Linked DNA regions of Diceros bicornis minor. The protein of the gene in region 2 purifies or fractionates together with the protein of the main gene of each other region. This does not show direct contact. Links are inferred from orthologs where the notes say so. Each region holds a gene or a part of one and is shown on either strand. Other genes may lie near its edges.

Region 1 (8,081 bases), on a different chromosome or scaffold from region 2:
ATCTGGCTCACCACTGGGTTTTTGTGGTTTTTTTTTTTGGCTAAGGAAGATTCGCCCCCTGAGCTAACATCTATTGCCAATCTTCCTCTTTTTTTGCTGAAGAAAATCTACCCTGAGCTAACATCGGTTGCCAATCTTCCTCTATTTTGTATGTGAGCCACAGCCACAGTATGGCCACTGATGAGTGGTGTAGGTCTGTACCCAGAAACTGAACCTGGGCTGCTGAAGCGGAGCATGCTGAACTTAACCACTAGGTCACTAGGGCCGGCACTCACCACTTGTTTTTGTAAATAAAGTCTTATTGGAACACACACATACACACAAAAGGTGACAGAAAGAATTCATTGAGAGTAGAGTATTTAGATATATAGAGAAGAGACCATTTATAGGGAAAGGTTCTTGGGAAGGTACAATGGGATGAAATCCAAAGCATAAAGTGGAGGGATTGGCCTATCATAGGAGGAAAGCAATGTCCTCTATTTGCCATAAGAAGAAGGGAGAGTAGGAGGAGTGAAGATGGTATGTAGGTTTGCATGTTTAATGGCTAGAAGCTGAAGGAGTTTCCATCTGAGCACTTTGGTTTTCTGGTGAAGCTGTAAGAAATATCTTCAGTTGATGGAAAAGGTGGAGGGTTTGGAAATTTGAGAAGTTTGAAGAAGGTTTCAGTTATCACAAGCATTATTCATAATAGCCAAAAAGTAGAAACAATCCAAATGTCCATCAACTGATAGATGGATAAATAAAATGTGGTATATCCATACAATGGAATATTATTTAGCAAAAGAAAGGAATGAAATACTGATACATACTACAACATAGATGAACTTTGAAACCATTACACTAAGTGAAAGGACACAGTCACAAAAGGTCACATATTGTTTGATTCCATTTATATGAAATGTCCAAAAGAGGCAAATCCATAGAAACAGAAATATTACTGGTTGTCAGGGGCTACAAGGAGGGGAAGAAAGGAGGAATAGGGAGTGACCGTTAATGGAAATGGAGTTTCTTTTTGGGGCGATGAAATATTCTGAAATTAGATACTGGTGAGGTTGAAGAAATATTTGAATATACTAAAGACCACTGACTTGTAACTTTAAAAAATGTGAATTTTCTGGTATAGGAATTATATCTCAATCAAGCTGTTATTTAAAAAAAAAGAGAGAAAAGTTATTAAATAGGCTAGTTGCACTATGCAGATAAAGGAAGTGGGATTGGCAGGCAGCAGAGACATCCACGAAATTAAATAAGCTTCAGCTTGGAGACCCTCATTGCACAAGTCCCCATGAGAATAGGGAGCTGCTGGAAGAGGTGGTGTGTCCTAGTTGAGAAGGGAAACCAGGAAGCACTCAGGAAGCATATCCACGTTAGGATTCTGGTAATCATAGAGATCTCAAAAGAAAGGCATCTGTATCTCTAAGCCTCCAGTAATTTTTTATTTATTTCTTCATTCTAAATACATATTCATCCTAATTTTGTATTTGTAATTGTATATTCTTTTCCTTTAAAAGGACTCTCCCCAAACTGTAGAAGCTTCAAGTTCCAGAAAACCAAGATCTGCCCTTGCAGATAGTTGAGGATGTATTTGAGGTCATTGAACACGAATTTATAGTGATGTCACTCATCCTGTTGTGTGACTTGCTCCAACAGTACTCAGCTGCTTGGGTGTAAAAGAGAGTAGAGTTGAGTTCATCTAGAGTTGGGGTTTTGTGAGTTGGGAGCATGTTATTAAAAATGTGGACCACAAAATTTAAACTGGATAAGCGGGGATGTGAAGTAAGGAGAGGTCTGATGGATCATGAGAAAGCAGAGGAGTCAATAGGCCACAACAGTTGTTGAGAAGAAAGATGATTATAGAGGAGAATTTGAAAGATCAAGTTGGAAGATAACATGGTTAAGGTGGGATGCCGGAGGTGAATGACAATGTCCATAGGGGCGATTGTTTGAGGCGATCTGAAGGTCACAGGCGATGACATGATCATTTGCTCTAAGGAAAATCTAAACTCAAAGATGATCTTCAAGGAGCTGCACAATCTGTCCCCTGCCTGCCTCTGTAACCTCACTCAGCCCAATGTCCCTCTCACTTGCCTCACTGCTGCCTTCATTCAGGAGCTCCTTCAAGCCTAAGGACTTATACACCTAGGAGTTTCTCTGTAGTTTCTCTTCTGTCTAGAATGTTCTCCTCCGCTACTTGGCCAGGCCAACTTCTACTCATCCCGAGGATCTCAGTTTAAAGTCTTTTCCTCAGGGAAGTCTTTCCAAATCTAACCACTCTTCTCCCAAGGGGTAGATCCTCCTATTATATGCCCAAATAAGACTCTCTTTTTTCTTTTATTTATTTATTTATTTTTTCCCCCAAAGCCCCAGTAGATAGTTGTATGTCATAGCTGCACATTCTCTTTTTTCTTTCACAACATTTATCAACCATATTGAAGAAGTGATGGGGCTAACTATTTGTAAAATAAAATTATCTGTAAAATTTAATAAAATTATCTGTAATCTGTAAAATAAAACATACACAGACTTCTCCGGGATTGAGGAGTGCAGGAACAGGTCTGGCTTTCCTCTCTGTTGTATTTGAGATCCTCAGAGACTTGCACATACTAGGACGTTCCATAAATATTTGTTGTATGAATGCAATTTAAGACACGTATAATAGCTTTTTCCAGCATACGTTTTAAAATACAAAGATATAGAACATGGTTTAACAGATAATCTGAAAACGGCATATAATATAAAAATAATGTAAATTTCCTTCCTAAAATACATACATGGAGACATATCTATCTTCAACCTCTCCTCAACCCTTATTTCATCTCTACAAATACAAATCTAAAACAACACAGTCGAAGATAGGGAAAAATAAAGATTTCTTATATAGAAATGAGATAATTGGATCCCTTATTTGAAATAAAAAAGTTATTGGAACTTCCAAAGGTAAATAGTACATTATACTACCATTTTCCATTAAAAAGGACTTTACAACAGGAGTGGAGGGAGTGGTGAATTTTTTAAAGCCAACAACACATTTGGAGGACGTGAGGCAAAATCTGTGTTCACATACTTAGAAAGAATCGCTTTGGTTTATTAGCTGCCATAAAATTTACACTCATGTTCTAAAAAGCCTTTAAATTTAAGAAAAACAACAACAACCCCTCTTGCTTGTTCTTTCTCTCAATCCTCTTTATGGTTTTCCTTGTTTCCACAAAACAAGTCTGATTCTCTTCTCTTTAATCTTTTAAATCTCTGGCTAAAGGCCTCCTCAAAGAAGACTTCCTTCTTATTCTGTCTGACCTAGTCCACTCCAGTTATCCTTTCACCTTACTGTGTGTTTATTTCCCTCAGGGCACCACATTTATCACAATCTGTACTTATGTTGACCTTTTATTTGTTTACTATCCTATGCGACCGCGGGAATGTCACCTCCGTAAGTGCAGGGACCCTTGTCACCACCCCCAGCCTACTATAATTGTACATTTTCAGACTCAGAGGAACTCCTGAACACGAATGATGTGTTAATAAGAAAATGCCTGAGGTTATTTTTCCCAGAAATGTTCACTTATCTCCTTTTATCTGATTGTTTATATTACCTTCTAAAATTTGTTTTGGGGCTTTGTTTTTCATAAAAAAAGTGGAAAAGATATTTCTATTACAGGATCAATCATGTTAAACTCAGGACCAGGGATCATAATTGTAAAACACATACAAATAGGCAAATAGAACTAGGACATCCAGTAAGTTTCCCTTTCTAGTCCAACATCCCAAGGGTAGATTTTAAAGAAATACGAAGTCAGTGGAAGAAACTGGCAACAAATGGAGGCAGTGTGAGACTAAAATGTCCCAGAGCCAGACTCGGTCAAATCCTTTGGCCCCGATAAGCGCTCCCACCACTCTGGCAGGGTTGCTTCGGGGACCAGTCCACGCCAGGCTGGGTGGGTCCCCCTCTGTCCTCCCCGCCAGGCTGGTCCCTAAGGCGCACTCCCCTTCGCCTTCGCCCTCCCGGTCCTGGGGCTTCAGTCTCGCCGGCAGAGATCAGCGGGGTCGCGGACTCTCCAAGGCGCCGTGGGCTCCCCAGGCTGTTTTGCTTTGCAGGCTGTCAAGTAGAGAAACCCACCCCATGCCCCAACCCCTCCCCCCCAACTCCTGATTTCGTGCACAGTACAAACTCCGAAGTGACACCCGCCAGAGCCAAGATGGCAAACCGCAGACTGAACAAGAACGTTAGTCGCTCTTCCCCGCGCCCAAGCCCCGGTGGCGCTGCCTTCTCCGAGGACTCGGCCGCGTTCCCCGGCGAGGAGCCCCCTGGGGGCTCCAGCCGCCACCGCCGCCGGGCGGCCGAGGACCCCGCTCCAGGTTCTCGAACTACAGATCCCAGGGTGCCTCTCGGACTCCCGCTCCCTCCCTCCTTCGCTCCCTCCCTCCGTCCGTCCCCTCCTCCCCCGGCCCTTGTTGTTTTGGCTGGAAGCGTTCTGGCGGAGTTTCAGAGAAAGTCTGGACAGAAACCTGAGCCGGCCTGAACGTGGGAAGGGGAGGAGGAAAGGGAGGAAGAGAGCGCCGGGAGGCCGGGAGAGGGAGGGATCGGGGCTGGGGGCCGGGCCGCTCAGAACCTGCCGCGCGCCCCAGGGTGGGGGAGGCGGCGCGGGAAGAGCGAGAGGGGACGGGACAGTGGGATCAGTCCCGGGAGCCCAGCAGCCGAGCGCCTCGTCCCCCCGCCGCTTCCCGCCCTCTTCGGCGGCGGCGAGAGCGAACCCACCCTCCGGCGGGACCTGCGCCCTCCCCAGCGCCCGCCGCCCGGCGACGCCCCGCGCTTGGCCGCCGACCCTGCGGCTCCCTCCGTGGCCCGGGACCTGCCCTGCGCCCGCTGCCCACGGGACCCTCGCGGCTCCCCCTTCCCTCCGCGCTTTTGGGCGCCGCGGGGAAGTGACCCAGCCTCCCCCGAGGAGGGGGAAGGAGATCGCCCGGGGCGCACCGAAACCGAGAGCGGGCGAGCCAGAGTGGGCGCCGCGCGGGGTCATTGTGTGTGTGAGTGAGTGTGTGTGTGTGTGTACGCGTGCAGCGTAGTGTCTGTTTCGGAAAACGCTCTGGGGAGGTCCTGTCCCTAGAGGGCGGAGCGCAGGGGACCGAGGCTCCGGCGCTTTGCTGGGTCAGAGTCCCGCGGAGCCGGAGCGCTGCTGGGGCGGCCGGCGGGACGGCGCGCCTGGCGGTGAGGCGGGCGCCCTCGGCCCGGCGGCGGCCCCTGCCCGGAGCTGTCGGCCTTGGTGGCGCAGCCCGCCCCTGTCGACGTCCGCGGACCTGCGCGGGAGAGGCTCGGCCGCCGAGAGCCAGCGCGCCGCAGAGCCCGCCCGCCCCGTCGGCCCGGGCTGCGCCGCCGGAGAGCCAGGTCCTCGGCGCTGCGCGGCGGCGGGCGTCGGCCGTGTCGGGAGCGCGCCCGGCCGCCCGTCTGCTGCCCGGCGCGGAGCCGGAGAGGCGCGCACCATGAGCGGCGGCGAAGTGGTCTGCTCGGGATGGCTCCGCAAGTCCCCCCCGGAGAAAAAGTTGAAGCGTTATGTAAGTACAGCTTCGGCCTCGGCCGCGCCGGCCTCCGCGCCCGCACCCCTCCCCGGCCGGCTCGCCGGCGGCTGCAGCCGGCCGCGCGCGGGGCTGCTTCTCCAAGTCAGTCCCCATCTCTTCCCCCTCGACCCCTTCCCCATGCTCGGGACCGAGTCGACACTCACGCCCTGGCCTCCTCTTTGCCGGGCAACTTTCCTCCTCTGGATTCCAGACGCCGGCTTTGCGGGCCTTCTCGGCCCATAGGAGGGCCCGGCATGTCCAGCTAAACGCCCGCTGCGTGTTTCTATTATTCCTTTTAGCAGGGGTGAGGAGAAGACCATTCTTTCTTTATAGCTGCATCTCATCGTTATGGGGCTGCTGTGTCCTCAGTTTCCCGCACTAGGAAAACCGCGGAGATTTTAGAACTCACCAGCCCTCTCGCTGGTCCGCGCCGCCTCTCGCTTTCCCTCGAGGTGGGTTGCGGGAAGCGGGCTGTGGACCTGAGAAGTCAGTATTAGAGACAGGCATCTCAAATCGGCGCAGAAGGGAAAGAAAAGTTATTACGCGCTCTACCGTTTGCTTAACAGGGTTCACATTTTCGCGGTTTTGAATCGAGGGCCATTGGAGCTTGGCCCGAGAGCCTTGGCAGTTTGCTGCGAGAGGAGGGCGCTGGGGGGAGCCTGGTGGCTGGTGTTTGGGCGCCTTGGACACGCTGTCAAGCTCTGCAGGAGGGGACAGCTGGGGCCAGTAAGGATTTCTGTTTGTTGCGGTCCTTTCCCAGGCCACCAGAGTTGCTTAAATGGTATTTGTGTGATTGATACAAGATGCTGATTATGTGTTAAACCGTTTTAGCTGTTAGGGAGAAAATTCCTTGAAAGAATCAATGTTTCTTTGGTGGAAATCTGTGTCTTCTTCAGGGGTCTGAAATCTCGCCCCTTCTCCCCCATTGGTGCTTTTGTCGCTGCCCCCTGCAAAGGAAAGAACTGATGCTTTTGCCCTGGCATTTGGAGCAAATATTTTTCTAGTAAAATATATTTCAAAAGCAAAATTTATGCCCCCTAAAATATAAATTTACTATCAGGGGGCTGACACTTCTTCTAATGGAACCTGTTTCTTGTTGAAGGACATCTACACCCAGTGTTAAAGCTCGGGTTAATCCTATTAGTCACTGTTTGCTTGTATAGAATGGAGTGAAATATTTAACTTCACTGACAACTCAGCAGTGAGTTCTGATTTACTTTCTGCCAGAATTTGTTATAGACAAGTAATTCTCATTTAAAGATTTGATGCCACAAATCCTAAGAAAGTTCTCCAGAGATTTTGCATCCTTCCAAATTCTGTCTCTCCACCTATCACAGCTTGCCTGAATATTAATGGTAAAGATGCTGACTTTATTCCAAAAATTTGAGAGAAGTAGTAGTTTTTTTCAGCTCTTAGTTCTAAAGAGAACGTTGTATGTGTGTGAGAAGAGGGAGTAGGGAGAGAGATGTATTTGTTTTGAGAGGGCACACTTTAGGAAAGACATAGATCTAAGTGATTGGGTTCTTGGGGGAACTAAAGAACAAAATGTTTGCTGAAATAGGTAGTGATAATAGAGAATTACTGCATTCTTTCACGTGGTTGGTTTGTGGCTCCGTCAAAAGATGCTAAGCACTGAACTAGGCACCCTAGGATTAGAAAACACAGTAGGAAAACAGCCCTGCCTCTTGGACTTGCAATTTAATGTAATATAAACCAAGAAGAAAATCAGCCAAAAAGATTATGTCATAACAAGGACCAAAAAAAAAAGGAAAGTCTAACTTAAAAAAGTATTTATTATTTTATTTGGTCGTTACAACAGTTTAATGCGGTAGGTGTTATCTCTGTTTTACAGATGAGAAAACAGTCTACATAACTAGAATGTACCAGAGGTGGGATTTGAACCCAGATCTGCCTGACTCACTGGGCTCTAAAAGGTTAATGCCTCTCATCTAGTTCATTTCAGGTAGAGCTCAGACTAGATCATCGCTAAAGGTCCTTTCAGATTATAACTTTCTATAAGTCTGTGAATGTTAGTTGAGAATGTGAGGAATAGGTGGGCTGTGGATCAGATGTGCAGTGCTCAAGAAACGTAAGACCCTTCAAGCAGCTTTCTGGGTCTTTGGGAAGATAGGTCAAGTATACATGAAAAAGTGAGCCAGCAATTCATAGTGGTTTCTCATTGTGTGCCCAAGCTGAGTGGTATGTTTGTTCTTTTTTTTTAATAGATGTTTTGAGGAACAAATCCAATGTAGTCTGAAACCATGAGAATATTTGAGAGAGACAGCAGGCTACCTAAATTGTGTTTTCAACAGGGGGAAGAATATGCCTAACAGCTAGCTGGGAGGAGGCGGGGTTTTCTTGCCTGGAGGAACACTAGTCTTTTCTTTACACACCAGTGACTGGGCCATGGAGATGGCCCAGGAAGACTGGGCAGGGTGGCTGTTAGAATTGAGGGGTCCAAGAGGGTGACTGAAGTGTTATACGTTACAATGAAACTTGTCTCATATTTTAACTGTCAAGTTGATTGCCCA
Region 2 (7,161 bases):
TATTTTTAGAGAGCCCAGCCACAAGCAAATGACCAATACAAATCAACATAAAAGTAGTTCATATTGCAAGAGCCTCATTCTAACCCTTTGTAGCTGGCATTCTTTAAGACAAGGTTTCCCAAAGCATGTTACCTATTAAACTAATTTTACGGAAAATGGCTACTGAAGATGTTATGAGGAAAAAAAGGCATATTTTCGGTTTAGCTTTGTTCTGTTTTGTTTTTCCCTGTGATTTTTCAGAATCTTCAATATTCTAATGTGCATGATGTATCTCTAAAAAGGGTAAGAAGAGTCCTATATCCCCAAATTGTATTTGCCCACAGAAATGATTTGAGGAACCAGCACCTGAATAATTCTTCTTGTCCTTCTGTGGAGACCTTTTCCACAGGCACACTAATAGGGGCAACGGGGCAAGGGAAGGGAAGAGAGTAGAGCGAGAGAATCCAAGAATAAATACTCTAAGACAGGGGTCACAAATCCTAACACCTACAGGAGAAAGTGACGTCAAGATCAGAGGTAGGCGGGATGCATTACAAGAGAAGATGGGATGATGGCAAACTGCAGAACATATGTTCTGTCTATTGCAATTCAAACTTTTAAAAAACATTCTGTGGGCCTAGGCAAGTCTCTACAGGTTGCCAGCATGAAGCCCCTGTGCTAAGAAGATTTCTTTCGTTTCAAAAACAGTAACATGTGAACAAACTTAGAGTACCTTCAAAGATCCCAATTTTAATGTGTTGCAGGGAGAGCAGAAAGGATGTGGCATATTTAGAGCGAGACACTGCTGCTCCTCTCCCCTTTGACCATGGCTACCATTAGGCCATCTCAGGGTTAAGAGATGGGATCTTGCTTATAGTTGAGCACTATGTCATCCACAAGTGTGTAGATAAGGATAGCTCATGTCTTTCAAGCACTTATATTTTACCAGACACTATTCTATGTGCTTTACTTATAGCTCCTCATTTCATCCTCACAATAATCCTATTATCATCTCCATTTTACAGATAAGGCACAGAGAGTTTAAGCCACTGGCCTATAGTTACATAGCTAGCAAGCAGCAGAACTGGGCTTGAAATCCAGGCTGTCTGGTTCTAAAATCCACACCTTTAACTGCTATGCTACACGTGGAGATGTCTTGCTCCTCATTTGAGGGGTATATCAGTTTTGAATGCTTTTGGCCACAGACGACAGAAATCCCAGCTAACAGTGTCTGGAACAAGTATTTTTCTACAAAACAAAATCTGGAAGCAGGTGTCTACTGGCATTGGTGCTGTCGCTCAGCAGTGTCAGAGTCCAACTTTTCTCCTCATGGTTGCAAGATGGCTAGCTCTTTGCTGAGCATTATATATGAAATCAAGAACGCAAGAAGTGAGAAGGGGTGGCACCAGCTTATTAGGGAAACTAAACTCTTTTCCAGAAGTCCCCAATAGACCTCAGCTTAACTCATCACCAGAATGACATCACATGGTCATGTCTGGTTGCAAAGGAGTCTGAGAAAGCAAGTATTTCTCCTTTCCAGCTATAAGAGTGGAGGCAGGCAAGGGAATATCTGGTTGGGAACAGGTGCTGGCTTAGCCAGCCAACAATGTTGGCCACAGGGGTTTGGTTTGGTTAGGAAAATACCAACCGAACTTCATCATACAGTGTGTCACCCATGCCATGGATCCAAGGGAAGTTAAACAGCAACAATTAAAGTTGGCCACAAAACCAAAATTGAATTGTAGAACTCCTATGACCTTTTTTTTTTTCTTTTTTTGCTTCTTTCCTTTTCCAAATATGTGAAATTACTTTTAACTCTTTTCTGGATCAAACCTATCTAGGTAGTGCGTAAAAACTAATTATTTGATTTTCATACACTCAGTTACTTTTAGTTATGCTATTCTTAGTTATGTTATTTTTATAAAATATTATCTCCTTATTTATAATTAATAAATCAAAATGACAATTCTTAATAAGTTTCAAAATTGGACTGAAATTTGTCAGTAACTAGAAACTAGGAAACCAGTGCTGAAAATATATAATAGGTTATTTGGATTTATAATCTATTTTATTTTCCAGTTTGTACTGGATTTTCTGGGTCTTTCTACCACTTTAATTGTAATTTTTTTCTTTTATATTTTTATCATGGCACTCAAACTCAGAAAACCTGTTAAGGCAACTACATAATGCAATCTAAAAATCCAGTTAACATATTGCTATGGAAACCAGGAAACAGAATCAGCACTCTAACCATTCCTTTGGACAACTATGACTAATTATGTGTGTGTGTGTGTGTAAATTCATTAGTTTATTCACCTTTTATTGGAAGTTGGTACTGAACCCCAAAACTATAATTGACCTGTCCATAAATAGGCCCAGGGCCCTCCAACCAGTCAATTAGCATTTTAATATGAACCCTAGTCATTGTTAAATTACACCATGTGATATTAGGAAATCTTCAGTAGGGCTGTGTTGTTTATTTAGCCTTCCCAGGCTGTGGCCTCTTGGCATGTTGTGAAGAACACCTGACTGGGATTTGAGAGCTGGGTTCTAACCTCTCCTCTTCTACTAACCAGCTGTGTGACCCTCACAGGAACTCTCAGGCACTGAGTTTCCTCATCTGCAAAATGGTTCAATGCAGAGTTCTAGCACAGTATTATGTAACGGGAACTTTCCTTTTCCATAAAATTGGGGAATCATGAGGTAATCACATTTGAGGATGGAAACGGCTCTGTGTAGTCCCGGGTAAAGCGCCTGGCACATAGTAAGCTCTCAGGAAAACGGTAACTGTTCTTACTATATTTTCCTATTTTTCATTCTGTAGTAAATAATTCCTGAACCTACACAGTCAATGTCGTTTTGTCCCATGACTGTCAATAACTACCAGATGCCACTATCTGACAAGCCCTTCCCAGAGCCAGAGAGGAGAATGCTAAGTCCTAATAGGCAACGCTCTTCCTTAGATCCTGTTACCTTTGAGTGTTTATTTTCTCTTGAAGGTTAATGTCAATTTTTATATTCAGACATGTGAGATATAAAAAGTTATCCTGATACAACTCACCAAGGCCCTAACACCCTTTTTTTTTTTAAAAAAAAAATCGTAAGATTTCAACATTCAAGAATTAAACTTTTGTTCTGTTTTGCTTGTTCCTTGATGTTTGCCTAGTTATTTAATCAGCCTGTTTCCTGCTACAAAAAAAAAAAAAAAGTGATAGTGAAGTTTCATCAGGGTTCAACTCCTGTGTTGTTCTTCCTTCCAGAAATCCGAGTTATTATAGTAGAGGATAATGGTTGCATAACGATATCCTTGGGACAGTTCGTCCACCCACTCCCACCTCCGCCTGGACAATGAATGCCTTGTTTCCGCGGCGCCCTAACCGTCCTCCCCGCCGGGCAGCGCCCGGCGGCCGGCGGAGCCGCGGGAGAGGCTCCGGGCAGAGCCTCGCGCTTTTCCCGCCGGCCGCGCGCGGGGGAGCGCGGAGGGGGCGCGCCGGGGGACGCTCGCCGCGCGAGCACCAGGAGGGGGAGACTCGGTGCCGCTTATCTCCGGTGCTGCAAACTTCAAACTCCCCGAGCTGGGGGAGGAGAGAGCGCGCAGCCAGGGCGAGGAAACTTCTCCACCTAGAAAGTTTCACCTTGCCGTGGGCGGGGCGGGAGGAAACGCGACCCCCGCGGGGCCAGGCGCGGCGCGCGGGCGGCAGGAAGGGCGGGGGCCGATTTCCCCCTCTGGGTGGTGCCAGTCCCCACCTCAGCGGTCCTCGGACCGGCGGACGCAGCGGACGGACAGTGCGCGAGACAGACAGACACGTGCTGGGGCGGGCGGGCGAGCGCCGCGGTCGGGTCGCCTGGCCGTGCCTCCCGCCTGGACGCGCCCGGGCCGCGCGCGCCGATGCCCGGCTGAGTCACGGGCCGGGCAGCGCGCGGGTGGGGAGGGGCGGAGGGAGCGCGGTCGGCGAGCCGACGGGGCGCTCGGCTGGGCCCGGAGGCAGGTGACCCGGAGGTTCTCGCCGCCCGCAGCGCCCCGAGCCCCGAGCGCTTTGTGACCAGATGCAGAGCCCAGCGGAGGGCGCGAGCCAGATGCGGGGCGACAGCTGACTTGCTGCGGGGAGGCGCGGAGCGCGCCGGTGGTCCCAGCGCGGCTGACTTCTCCTCCGCCGGGTCCTGGGCGCCGCAAGGTAAAACTGCAGTCCGCTTCAGATCCCGTACCCACCCCTGGCCCCAGCGCTTCTCCTCTCTTTGTTCCCCTAAGAGACCTGACTGCTGTTCCAGAGGACGAGACCGGGGAGGTGGGCGAGAGTTTAGGGGCTTCAGAAACTGAAGGACTGTGGCCAGGGGGGAGTCGAAACTAGAATGGGGCTTTTCGTTTTAGGGGGTTGCTTCTGACGGCCACCTGTATGACTCAGGAGAGAGAGGGGCGCAATACATTGCAACAGGGGTTTACATTAGATGTACACTCTGTGCTTTCAGAATTAGTGGATAAGGTTTGTCTGAATGATAAAGATGTACACAGATGACAAGATTAAACCACAGCCAGTCAGAGGAGAGGGTGATGTATGACTGTTATGGCCGGGCAAGTTTCAAGGCTGTGATCTGACTCAGCCCTTACAAAGGGGATCCGGTCACCCAGTCCCAGGGTGATGCAGCCGGCAAGGTTTGAGCCGCAGAGCGGTTTCCTTGTTCCTTGTTCCCAACCCTGCTTTATCTGTATTAGTGGGTGGGGGTCCTTCCAAGGGGCAGGTGTTTCTGTGAAGGTCTGAATTCTTCATTTCTAGCAAATACACAGGGCTTTGTGATCCATCATTTTCAATCGTACCTTCTCTCTTGGCTGGGACTCTGTGGAGGACATCTATCTTATTAGGTGAAATAGATTATAACCAGCGGTCGGCAGTCTGGCTTGTACTGGTACTGACCCAGTAATTAAAGCACCAACCAAAGTATTTTCACCAGCTATTGCCAATGCAGAATTTACTCCCAAGTACGGTTTCCCATTTCATACCTTTTATGTTTTAAAAGAGTCATTTACTAATTTGACAGTTGGAGAGGGTTGCAGTGGCTCACACATGAATAGTTGCCCAGTGTATTTTACAATTTAACAATTTTATCTTCAAAGGAGCCTTGGGGCAGAATGAAATATTGTCAACTCTCTTAGGCAAAATAATCAGGATACTTTAATTGCCAAGTTCAAGATGGTCGATGAATGTGAGAGGATTGTAAAAACTGACGTTGGAGAGAATATAGACTATCTGGACCCTCTCCTGAATTTTAAGAAGACTGTTAACGTTGTGTAGAGTTGGGTGGAGGTTTCTCCTGTCATTTTCATCAGCCAGACACATGCACATTGCCATGCAAATGGATTCAGAAAAACATTATTTTCCTTTACAGCTAAACTATTATAGCTGACTAATGAATTTTTTCTGCATGAGGATGATCTGAAAATGGTGTACATCATGTTTCTCTTTGCTACTGGGACATAAATTGTGCTTTTATGTAAACTGTAAGTGGTGCTCAGATTATTTACAGGTGCATAGCTTTCCTTTCCAGCTCTGAGCTTACTGGGCTTTGTTTTAACATGTAACCGTCCGTAATGGAACAGAGCTGAGATGCTTTGGTTCCAGTCATAGACTGCAAAAGCCTGTGGTGTATTCAGTGTTCATTCTTTTTGGGTTGCTGAATAAGACAGGTGAAATTTACATCACTCATAAGAAATTTTTTGTTGTACCAAAATTTTTTGTGTCTGATTGCCTATAAAATATACTGGTGTTTTAAAAATTCTGTTCGTTTCGAACTTGACAGTGCATAAGCCTGTAGTTATTAACCTAAGTATATTTTGATTTTAATATGATGGAATTTATGGCATATAGAAGATGATCTGCTGACTACTGCTTTTTCTAAGATTGCTTTGTTCTTAATACTTGCAGTAGAGGTTTACATTAGATGTACACTCCGTGCCTTCAGAATTAGTGGATAAGGTTTATCTGAATGATAAAGATGTGCAAGATGAACCACAGCCGGTCACTATGAAAGCTCGTAACTAGTATTTTCATGACTTTTAAACCTACAATAAAAGAAAAATGTTACTTTTCTAAGTGGGGGAAATACTCTTATAAATTCCTTTAAGACTGTATGTGTATGTCCCACTATAATCTTGAAATTTTAAAAAAATTTGTTTTAATGAGGGTTAGATTAAGAAATACATTTCAAAAATCAATTTCCTTAGCTGTTGATTAAAAAATAGTCCAAAATAGCATTAGTCTAAAAAATAGTCCAAAATAGCATTAGTCTAATTTTCCTTTTACAAATGGGTATAATAGCCTCAAACAAACTTTTTCTCAAATGTGGTCATCTCAAAACAAAGTGAATAACTCAAAAGGTCTAACATCCTCTCAGGACGCACACTGTTCTCTAAGTGGCTGCACCAGTGCCTATGGTGACACACCCATGGTGTGTACACAGCTCCCTGCACGTTCAGAGTAGCTCCGGTCTCTCTGCCCCCTTCCTCCTCATCCCTTTCCCTTGGTTTGGTCAGAGCTGCTTCCAAGCCCTTCTATGCTTTTCTCCACTCCAATTTCATGGTTTCTTCGCTGTCATTAGGCTTAATGCTTCTCACCAGACTGTCTATGCTTTCTTTTCCCACCATCCATAATATTCTGTGTTTGTTCATGGAATCCCGAATTTCTTAATTGTGCCACCTTAAGGGGATTGAAAATATGCGGAAGCTCAAGGGCTGGGCATGTAACCTCCTTTACTTCCCTGGTGTATGTTGAAACTGGTGTCTTTGACTCTGAGCCTTCAGGGCAGAGTTTCTCCAAGGGCTTTGCTCATTGCAAAATAGTCACCTCTTAGTAATAAATGGTAGGTATACTGACTGATGTCAACTCAGGATCACTTTGATTCTCTGTTCTTAACAGACACTCAGTTGCTGCCAGGCCCACATTCGCCTCACCAAAAATAGCTAAGAACTGTATGTTGAGCGTTCTATGTGTTTGGTACTAGGGGAACATTTTTTAAAAGGAAGAAATGAAATCTCTGCCCTTGAAGAGTTTAAAATCTAGATATACAGATAAATATCACACATAGAAACTGAACCAAGATCCATAATTATTAAGGGGACATCACACATATTTAATTATTAAGGAGAATGACAATGTTAGGAGTCATCCTGTTTGCTGGTAAATAATAGAA
Region 3 (7,716 bases), on a different chromosome or scaffold from region 2:
ATGGGTTGATAGGGGATGAGGATTAAATGAGCCAATCTGTGAAACACACAACACAGTGTAGATCCAGACCAGTGCACAGCCATTACTTGTGCCTCTGCCTCATCCTCATTCTGCATTTGCCCAGAGTAGACAATATTGGTAAAGCCCTGTGCATGCTTGTGTCACAAAGAATGCCCAGTACAAGAGCTGAGCCTTACTGGGATTCATATCAAGCCCCTGGGGCGTCTACCATAAGAACGGTATTTTTCCCTAGCTGAGACTTTTTCCTTTTTTTTTCAGCCACAGGTGGAATTAAGAAATCGGGGAAAAAGTAAGCTGTTCCTTGTGCCTGAGGCAGTGGTGATTGTTAATTCCATTCCTGTTTAAACATCTGGATTCCCTGCCATAACATCTGTTGCCACCTATAATTAGAATGAAGTGTTGTCTTGGAGCCTGTTGTACATTTAAGAATAAATTTTGTAAAAAAAAAAAAATCATACAGTGACTCGTCTTTATTTAGTTCTTCTCACTCAGCCATTTCTACCTTAGCTGTGAGGTCAGAGTAAACCCAGCCCAGAATCCTGCCAGTGTTCTTCAGTCTTTGTTCTATCCCGAATTCTGTACCACCTGGAGTTAAACCAGCTCATTTCAAATGGCTGTTGTTTCTGTCTGGTTGTATACTCAACAGAATACATTACATGAGGTTAGTGGAAGAATTTGTACTTTGGAAAGAAACTCATCTTTCCGGCCGGCCCCATGGCTTAGCGGTTAAGTGCGCGCGCTCCACTGCTGGCGGCCCGGGTTCGGATCCCAGGCACGCACCGACGCACTGCTTCTCCAGCCATGCTGAGACTGTGTCCCACATACAGCAACTAGAAGGATGTGCAGCTATGACATACAACTATCTACTGGGGCTTTGGGGGAAAAAAAAAATTATAAAAAAAACAGAAGACCCATCTTTCTCTGTCATAACATCCATGTTGCCATTTGTTTTAATGGGATTGTTCATCTGTTCATGTAAGTCGAGTCTCCTGTGTGCAGGCTGAGCACGTACCAGTGAACAATTCCTGCTGTCAAGGAACTTCTCTATTGTGGGAGGGGAGCAGGACAAATACATATGATATGCGTTGTGAAAGGAAGAAAACTGGGGAAAGATTCCTGAAAGTCTCTAAGTACCAAGCTTACTCCAGAGCCCCCAGGTCTGCATTTCCACTAGGGCTTCAGAAAGGTCCTTGCTAGGTTCCCATGTCTTATACCCCCCATTCAACCCATCAGCAAAATTAACTCTGGCCCCTTTATTCTTCCTCCAGTACCACCACCACCACCTCCCCATTCTAACCCTAAAATCCCTCACCTGGATTATTGCAATCACATCCATACTTGTTTTCCTGCCCCTACCCTTGCCCCCCTACAGTCTAATCTTCACTCAGGACCCAGAGTGATCTTGCTAAACCATAAAGTCACTCTGTCTCTCCTTGGCTCAGAATTCTTCAGTGCCTTCTTAGAGCACAAGCCAGCGTCCCTACAAGGACCAGATCTAAGGGATCTGGATGCCACTCTCTACCCACTGATATCTTCATCCCCCTGATCCATCTTAAGCCACAGTGGCCTAGGTTCCAAGCAAGCTCCTGCTTCACTGTGTTCGCAGCAACTCTTCATTCTGCCTGTCACTCTTGTGGTAGTGGAGATTCCCTCCCTTTAGAGAACTGAAACATCACAGTAGTGAGCTTTTCTCCGACCACTCTATAAAGTGGCAGTCCCAATATTTCTTACTCCGTTTCATTTTTTTCTCCTGACATTTGTTGATTATCTACCACCCTTGACTCCAGAAGGAGTAAATTCCTGGAAAACGAGATCATCCATAATGTATGCCAAATGCACATGTATTGAAACACTTAATCCAGAGGCACAAGTCTTTGGATTTCCCCTCCAGACCCTTGATAAAATTATAGGAATAATGCTAATAATGCTAAGCTTTCTCTGAGAATGTGTTTTCAAAGGGGCTCTAGAACTAGTCTGAGATTTTGCTGAGTCAAAACTGGAAAAGATTTTGATAGATTGAAGCCTGTTTTATGACTCTAATGTACCTGATATCCACAGAGAAGAAAAAAAAAAAGCCCGCTTTGGTCCTCTCTCAGAAAGTTACACAGCCCGCAGCACCTTCTTTGGACTTTAGGTGTTCCCCGTGAGGCCTTGAAGCTGGCACCCAGCCCTAGGCTGCTGAGAACAACCTTTCTGAGAGGCAGTGCCAGCACACTGCCCCTGAGAGTAAGCTACTACTTTTTTATTTGGTGGAACCTAATCCCTCCTGACAAATGAAGTATAATCCTGTCTCTTTATAGGACCAGAGACCTGCAGCAATTAAGACTTACGCATTCAACATTTGGACAGGTATCTGAGGGAACCTACCAAATGCCTCAAAACTAAACTCAAGTATTTAAGACCCTCTAGGTCCTGACAACCATCTCCCTTTCATCTACTGCTTTCACAAACATTCATAGGACACTCACAGGCTAAGTTTGGCACTGAACATGCAAGGATGAAAAGAGTCTTGTTCCTGTTACTCTCCAACAGCCTGCTCCTGCTAACCGTCCTGCACACCACTGCTGCCGGATAAAATCCTGTCGGGCTCAAGCTCAGCTTGAATTCTTGCTCCTCTGTGAAGCTTTACCTTCTCTCTTTGCCATAGATAACTCCTATCTGGCATTTGTGTGGCCTCCACTTCGGTGTTGTATTCTTGTCTGAGTAGTCTTGTGGGCCAGCCTCCTTGCTAACTCTTGATAACTCCCACCCAACCTGCAGGACAGCCCAGGTGCCACTTCCAGGGAGACTTCTTGACCTCCTGAGCCTTACTCATTTCTGTATGACCAGCGCTTGGGACAAAAACACTCAAGGACTCTCAGAAAAATTAATGAATGAATGTTAACAGCCTAAGCAGTTAGTTCCCACCCTCCTCCAACACAGGCACGCCCTTTTCAGGATTCCCCCCACCCCCTTCTCCTTAGACCTTTCTTCCCCAGACGTACCTCAAATGTACACATTCAAAACATTTACTGTTCTCAAATCCGTGTGCTCACAACAGCTCTATTCATAATCTTCGCCCAGCCCCACTCTCTCCAAGAGAGCCTCGGGGTATGTGAGAGGTAGGTCCGGTGGGAGGAGAGCGAGGTCGCAGAGACCAAACCCCTAAGTGCTGCCTGCCTGGGTTCACGTGCGCACTTGTGAATGTCAGGGCGAACTCCTCCAGCGTGGCTGTGTACCCACGGGATGCCAGGGAGGAAGCGCAGAGCCACCTGCGCGGTGGGGTCGGTGAGCCTCAAACCCGCAGTCCTGGTATCTCAGTTCGCGCCGCCAGAGCTCCCGCCACCGACCTTCTGAGTTCCAGGCGCCGGTACCCGAACGGCGGGGCCCAGAGGGCTGGGCGCCACCGAGGACAGGCACTCAGCTGAGCACGGCGGCGCGCTCGGATGTATGTCATTCCTCCGCGCCCGCCGGCTGGCAGCTGATTGGCCCTTAGGATCGGGGGCGTGGCCCGAGCGGCTGAGGCGAGCTGCGGCGCGCGGGCGGTTGGTCCAGGTCCTCCGTCTCGCGGCGACCAGGCCGGGCTCGGTGCCTTCGAACAGTGGCTGGCGGCAGGCATGGCTGGAACCTCCGCGCCGGGTAGCAGGAGGCGGAGCGGGCCCCCGGCGCCTAGCCCTGGCCCGCCACCCAGCACCGGGCACCCTCCGAGCAAGCGGGCCCGGGGCTTCCCCGCGGCCGCCGCCCCAGACCCTGAAGACCCTTTCGGCGCGCACGGGGATTTCACCGCCGACGATCTCGAGGAGCTCGACACCCTCGCGTCACAGGCCCTGAGCCAATGCCCGGCCGCGGCTCGGAACGTGTTCAGTGAGTGCATCTCGGGGCCTTTTCCCCAGAGGGTGGTGCAGACCTCGCCAGACCCCCCTTGATGGCTGTGGCTTCGGAACCCCAGGGCGACCGTCGCCCCCGGTGTCTTGCACCCACACTGCCCCTTCACCTTTTTAAAATATATGAACAGCTTGATTTAAGCAGCGGTTGTGTCCCAAAAGGTCCTTTGATTTTGAGGAGAAATGTATCAGGAATGTCAAACAGCTGATTTGAAATATAGAAAACTAGGTTAACATTTTACTTTAGTTTCTAAAGTTTGCCACTAGGTTCTTGGTTCTAAGCCGAGATCCTTGAAACACGGCTACCACCGCCATCGGAACCATCACTGCCTGTGCATGGGGACCCATTCTCGTGACGGGTTTGGGAGGCTCTAGATCTAATGAAGATCACGCTCTCCCTTGGGCGGCATGAGCATAAGAGAGGCCTGGCAGAGGCAAGAGATGAAAGAGTCTTATTCTTTTATACAACCAATAAATTGTACTAGGTGACTAGACCTTAGGGACTGCAGCACACTTAGTAATGAATAAAAGACATAAAGCCCTTCCTTCATGGAGCTTACGTGATAGTTGGGGAATGAGTGAAGTCTTGTGGGGCTCCCAGAAAGAGAAAGGTTTTGAGAGCACCTTGCATCTCTACTTGGATGTCTCAAAAGCATCTTAAATTCCACACAATCATTTCCTGGAAATCCAGCATGTCCAGCACACTGCCTGGCAAAGCAGATATTCCGAAAACACTCATCAATGACCAAATGTTCTGCACAACAATGACTAGCCCGCTCTCCATCAGGTGGCACAAGGCAATGGCTCCGTTTCCTTGACCATACGTCTAATTCCTTTCAAAATCCTGTAACTTTACCTTCTTATTCCTTCTCTGGAATCCATCCTCTTTGCATCATCTCTACCATATCTCTGATCTATGTCACCATTGCCCCTCCTCTGGACAACAGTCTGGACAACTCCTTGTCTCCCTGTTTCCAGTCTTGACTCTCTGCAAGTTGGACTTCACACCACAGCCACAGTGATCTTTTCAAAACTCAAATTTGTCTGTGTCTCACAGATTCACGCGAGCATCCCTACTGAAAGCCTTTAATGACTTCCCACTGCTTCTAGTATAAAGATCAAAATCTTTAACATAGCCTGCGAGGCCTAGCATGGTCTGTCCCTTTCCCACTCCCTGAATTCTAGCCACACTGACTTTCCTTCATTCTTTGAATTCTCTCTGCTTCCTTACAAGACAGAAACTTTGCAAGTTGCTGTTTCTTGTACATTGAGTGTGCTTTCCATCCATTCCCCATCCCCATTCATCTGGTTAATTCCTGCTTGTTCTTCAGCTATCAGCTCAGTCATCACTTCCTTAGGGAGGCTTGCCAATCATTCACTTGGGTCAGATCCCTCTATTATAGCCTTTCCTATATTTGTTCTCCTCTGCAGCTTTTATCACAGTTGTAATTTTACATTTATTTGTATGATTATTTTTGAATGTCCTGTAAATTCCATGATTGTAAGGACTATATCCATTTTGCTCGCTATTGTACCTTTAGAGACTAAATTGTGCCTGGCATATTATAGGTACTCAATAAATATTGTTGAATAACAGATCACAGGGTTCTAACCAGTGAGATCCCCACAGCTCCTTTCAACCTTTAGACTCTTAAAATTGAGTGGGGGATGGGGTGAGGGTAGCAGGATCTGTTATTTCATAAAGATCATTTATGAGTTTAAATCATGTTCTTAGGTTGGAGATATGTATATTGCTTACTAGATCTTTCTCTAATTTGCTTTCAAGAGTGATTCTTTTCAGCATTGTCTGGCAAAGGTGGGAAAATATTGGGTCCTGAAAAGTATATGGGAACTGTTTTTTACAGATGTTCATAAGGTCCCCAGATTAGATGGGATGTCAAAAAATCCTGCAGGGAAAAACAGAGCAAGTGTTCCAGTTAAAGATAATTTTGAATTAGAGGTACTTCAGGCACAATACAAAGAACTTAAAGAAAAGGTAAGTGACTTAATTTGTGGTTTTGTAGTTACTTCATTCACTTATGCATGTATTATAAAGCATTGTACAATAAAATATATAAAAGTTTTAAAACAAGAGCCCAGATTCATCTCCATGAAATGGAGGAAGGCTGGGGAAAGAAAGCCAGAAAATTTAGGCTGAAATAAACTAAATCCTTGGTGAACATGATGTAATCTAACAGAAATCAAAATATAGTGATGCACACCTGAAATTTATATAATGTTATAAACCAGTGTTACCTCAATAAAAAAAAAAAATATATATATATATATATAAAAGAGGGGCTGGCCCAGTGGTGTAGTGGTTAAGTCCACGCGCTCCGCTTGGGTGGCCTGGGATTTGCGAGTTCGGATCCCGGGTGCAGACCTACGCACCACTCATCAAGCCACGCTGTGGCAGGCATCCCACATATAAAGTAGAGGAAGATGGGCACAGATGTTAGCTCAGGGCCAATCTTCCTCACCAAAAAGAGGAGGATTGGCAACAGACGTTAGCTCAGGGCTAATCTTCATCACCAAAAAAAAAAGAAAAGTAAATCCTGAGATTCCTAACAGCCAAGGCAAGAAAGGAAACACTGTACACCAGATCCAAAAAGAGACACAAACTTTCTGTTTTAGCACGGAGATAAATTTATAGTATATGCCTTATATAAGGAACACAACATCATAATGGTTGCTATTTTCATTAGCAGTTTTGCAAAAAAAGCAGACATCTTTCATATGACCATCTATAGGTCCCTAGGAAAACCAAGAACATAATGTGGAATTTTAGTTCTGTGAGGTGTGTGACCCAGATTTTTTAATACCTACTGGAGCCTACAGAATCTGCATGCATAAGTGACAAGTGTGTCCTTAAGCTATGTTGCTGAATATCAGCTGTCTCATGAATGGGCCTGGCAGATCATGGTGACATCTGGTTGGTAGGGGTATATTTTGAGCACTCATTGGTCTGTAGGACATGTTTCACGTGTGCTTTCTCCGTCTCCCCAGCAACATGTTGAAACAAGTACATATATAATTTTCCCTTACAAATTTGTCACAAGATTGATTTGGGATTTACAGATGAAGGCAATGGAAGACGAAGTCCTCCTTAAAAATGGAGAAATTAAAATTTTGCGGGACTCACTGCATCAGACAGAATCCATTCTAGAGGAACAGAGAAGATCCCATTTCCTTCTTGAGCAAGAAAAAACTCAAGCACTCAGTGACAAAGAAAAGGAATTCTCCAAAAAGGTGACCCAGAGCATTTGCTTTGCTTCTTACTGACATCAGCTTATCAGCTTTGTCTGCTCACTGAGTTCCTTTAGAAGCAATGACCAAAGTTGCCTGTAAATCTTCGAGGAGGTTTTCAACAGTTGTTTGTCTTAAAGACTTTCTGGTATCAGCTAATTGCATATACTTTTCTTCCAGGCTTTGCATGTGTTTTAGCAAAGGACTTAGATGAAACTCTGCTTTGCAGGTCTTGGCAGGAATAAATCACTAGCTTAGACTTTCCAGAAACAGACTTAAATTAGGGCTTTTGGGAAGATCAGAAACTCAATTCCCTAGCTTAGGCTAAAAGGAAATAAATTGGCTTCCATAACTAAATCTGGGAAAAACAGGTGTGCTGGGGCCTCCAATGACTCAAGCTGTGCCAGAACTCATCTTTATTCTCTATGCTAAAAACAGGCTCCATCCTTATGGTAGAGGATGTGTTCTCCGGAAGCTCCTGGGCTCATATTTCATGGCTCCAGAGCAGACTGAAAACTTGGGCTCCCTCATCTCAAGCTTTAAAATTCTGGGGAAGGCTCTATTTTATCTAACCCAGTCAGGTGCC

Evidence for each region. The genes of interacting proteins can lie anywhere in the genome.
Region 1: the proteins of MET (region 2) and GAB1 purify together in Homo sapiens (affinity purification with western blotting; 3 studies listed by BioGRID and IntAct, with this or other methods). This does not show direct contact. The link is inferred for Diceros bicornis minor from reciprocal best matches to the Homo sapiens genes MET and GAB1.
Region 3: the proteins of MET (region 2) and PLXNB1 purify together in Homo sapiens (co-immunoprecipitation; 3 studies listed by IntAct). This does not show direct contact. The link is inferred for Diceros bicornis minor from reciprocal best matches to the Homo sapiens genes MET and PLXNB1.

What each region holds. Positions count from the first base shown.
Region 1 is NC_080750.1:33,150,514-33,158,594, forward strand, and holds the start of GAB1 (GRB2-associated-binding protein 1), read left to right. Parts: upstream 1-5,034; 5' UTR 5,035-5,475; coding exon 5,476-5,547; intron 5,548-8,081. UniProt on the Homo sapiens protein: Adapter protein that plays a role in intracellular signaling cascades triggered by activated receptor-type kinases. Plays a role in FGFR1 signaling. Probably involved in signaling by the epidermal growth factor receptor (EGFR) and the insulin receptor (INSR).
Region 2 is NC_080742.1:67,624,173-67,631,333, forward strand, and holds the start of MET (hepatocyte growth factor receptor), read left to right. Parts: upstream 1-4,095; 5' UTR 4,096-4,154; intron 4,155-7,161. UniProt on the Homo sapiens protein: Receptor tyrosine kinase that transduces signals from the extracellular matrix into the cytoplasm by binding to hepatocyte growth factor/HGF ligand. Regulates many physiological processes including proliferation, scattering, morphogenesis and survival.
Region 3 is NC_080741.1:49,801,247-49,808,962, forward strand, and holds the start of PLXNB1 (plexin-B1), read right to left. Parts: upstream 3,048-7,716; 5' UTR 3,021-3,047; coding exon of another isoform or gene 3,006-3,020; intron 474-3,005; exon of another isoform or gene 280-473; intron 1-279. Other genes in the region: ATRIP (ATR-interacting protein), read left to right, coding at 3,618-3,864, 5,750-5,880, 6,963-7,133. UniProt on the Homo sapiens protein: Receptor for SEMA4D. Plays a role in GABAergic synapse development. Mediates SEMA4A- and SEMA4D-dependent inhibitory synapse development. Plays a role in RHOA activation and subsequent changes of the actin cytoskeleton.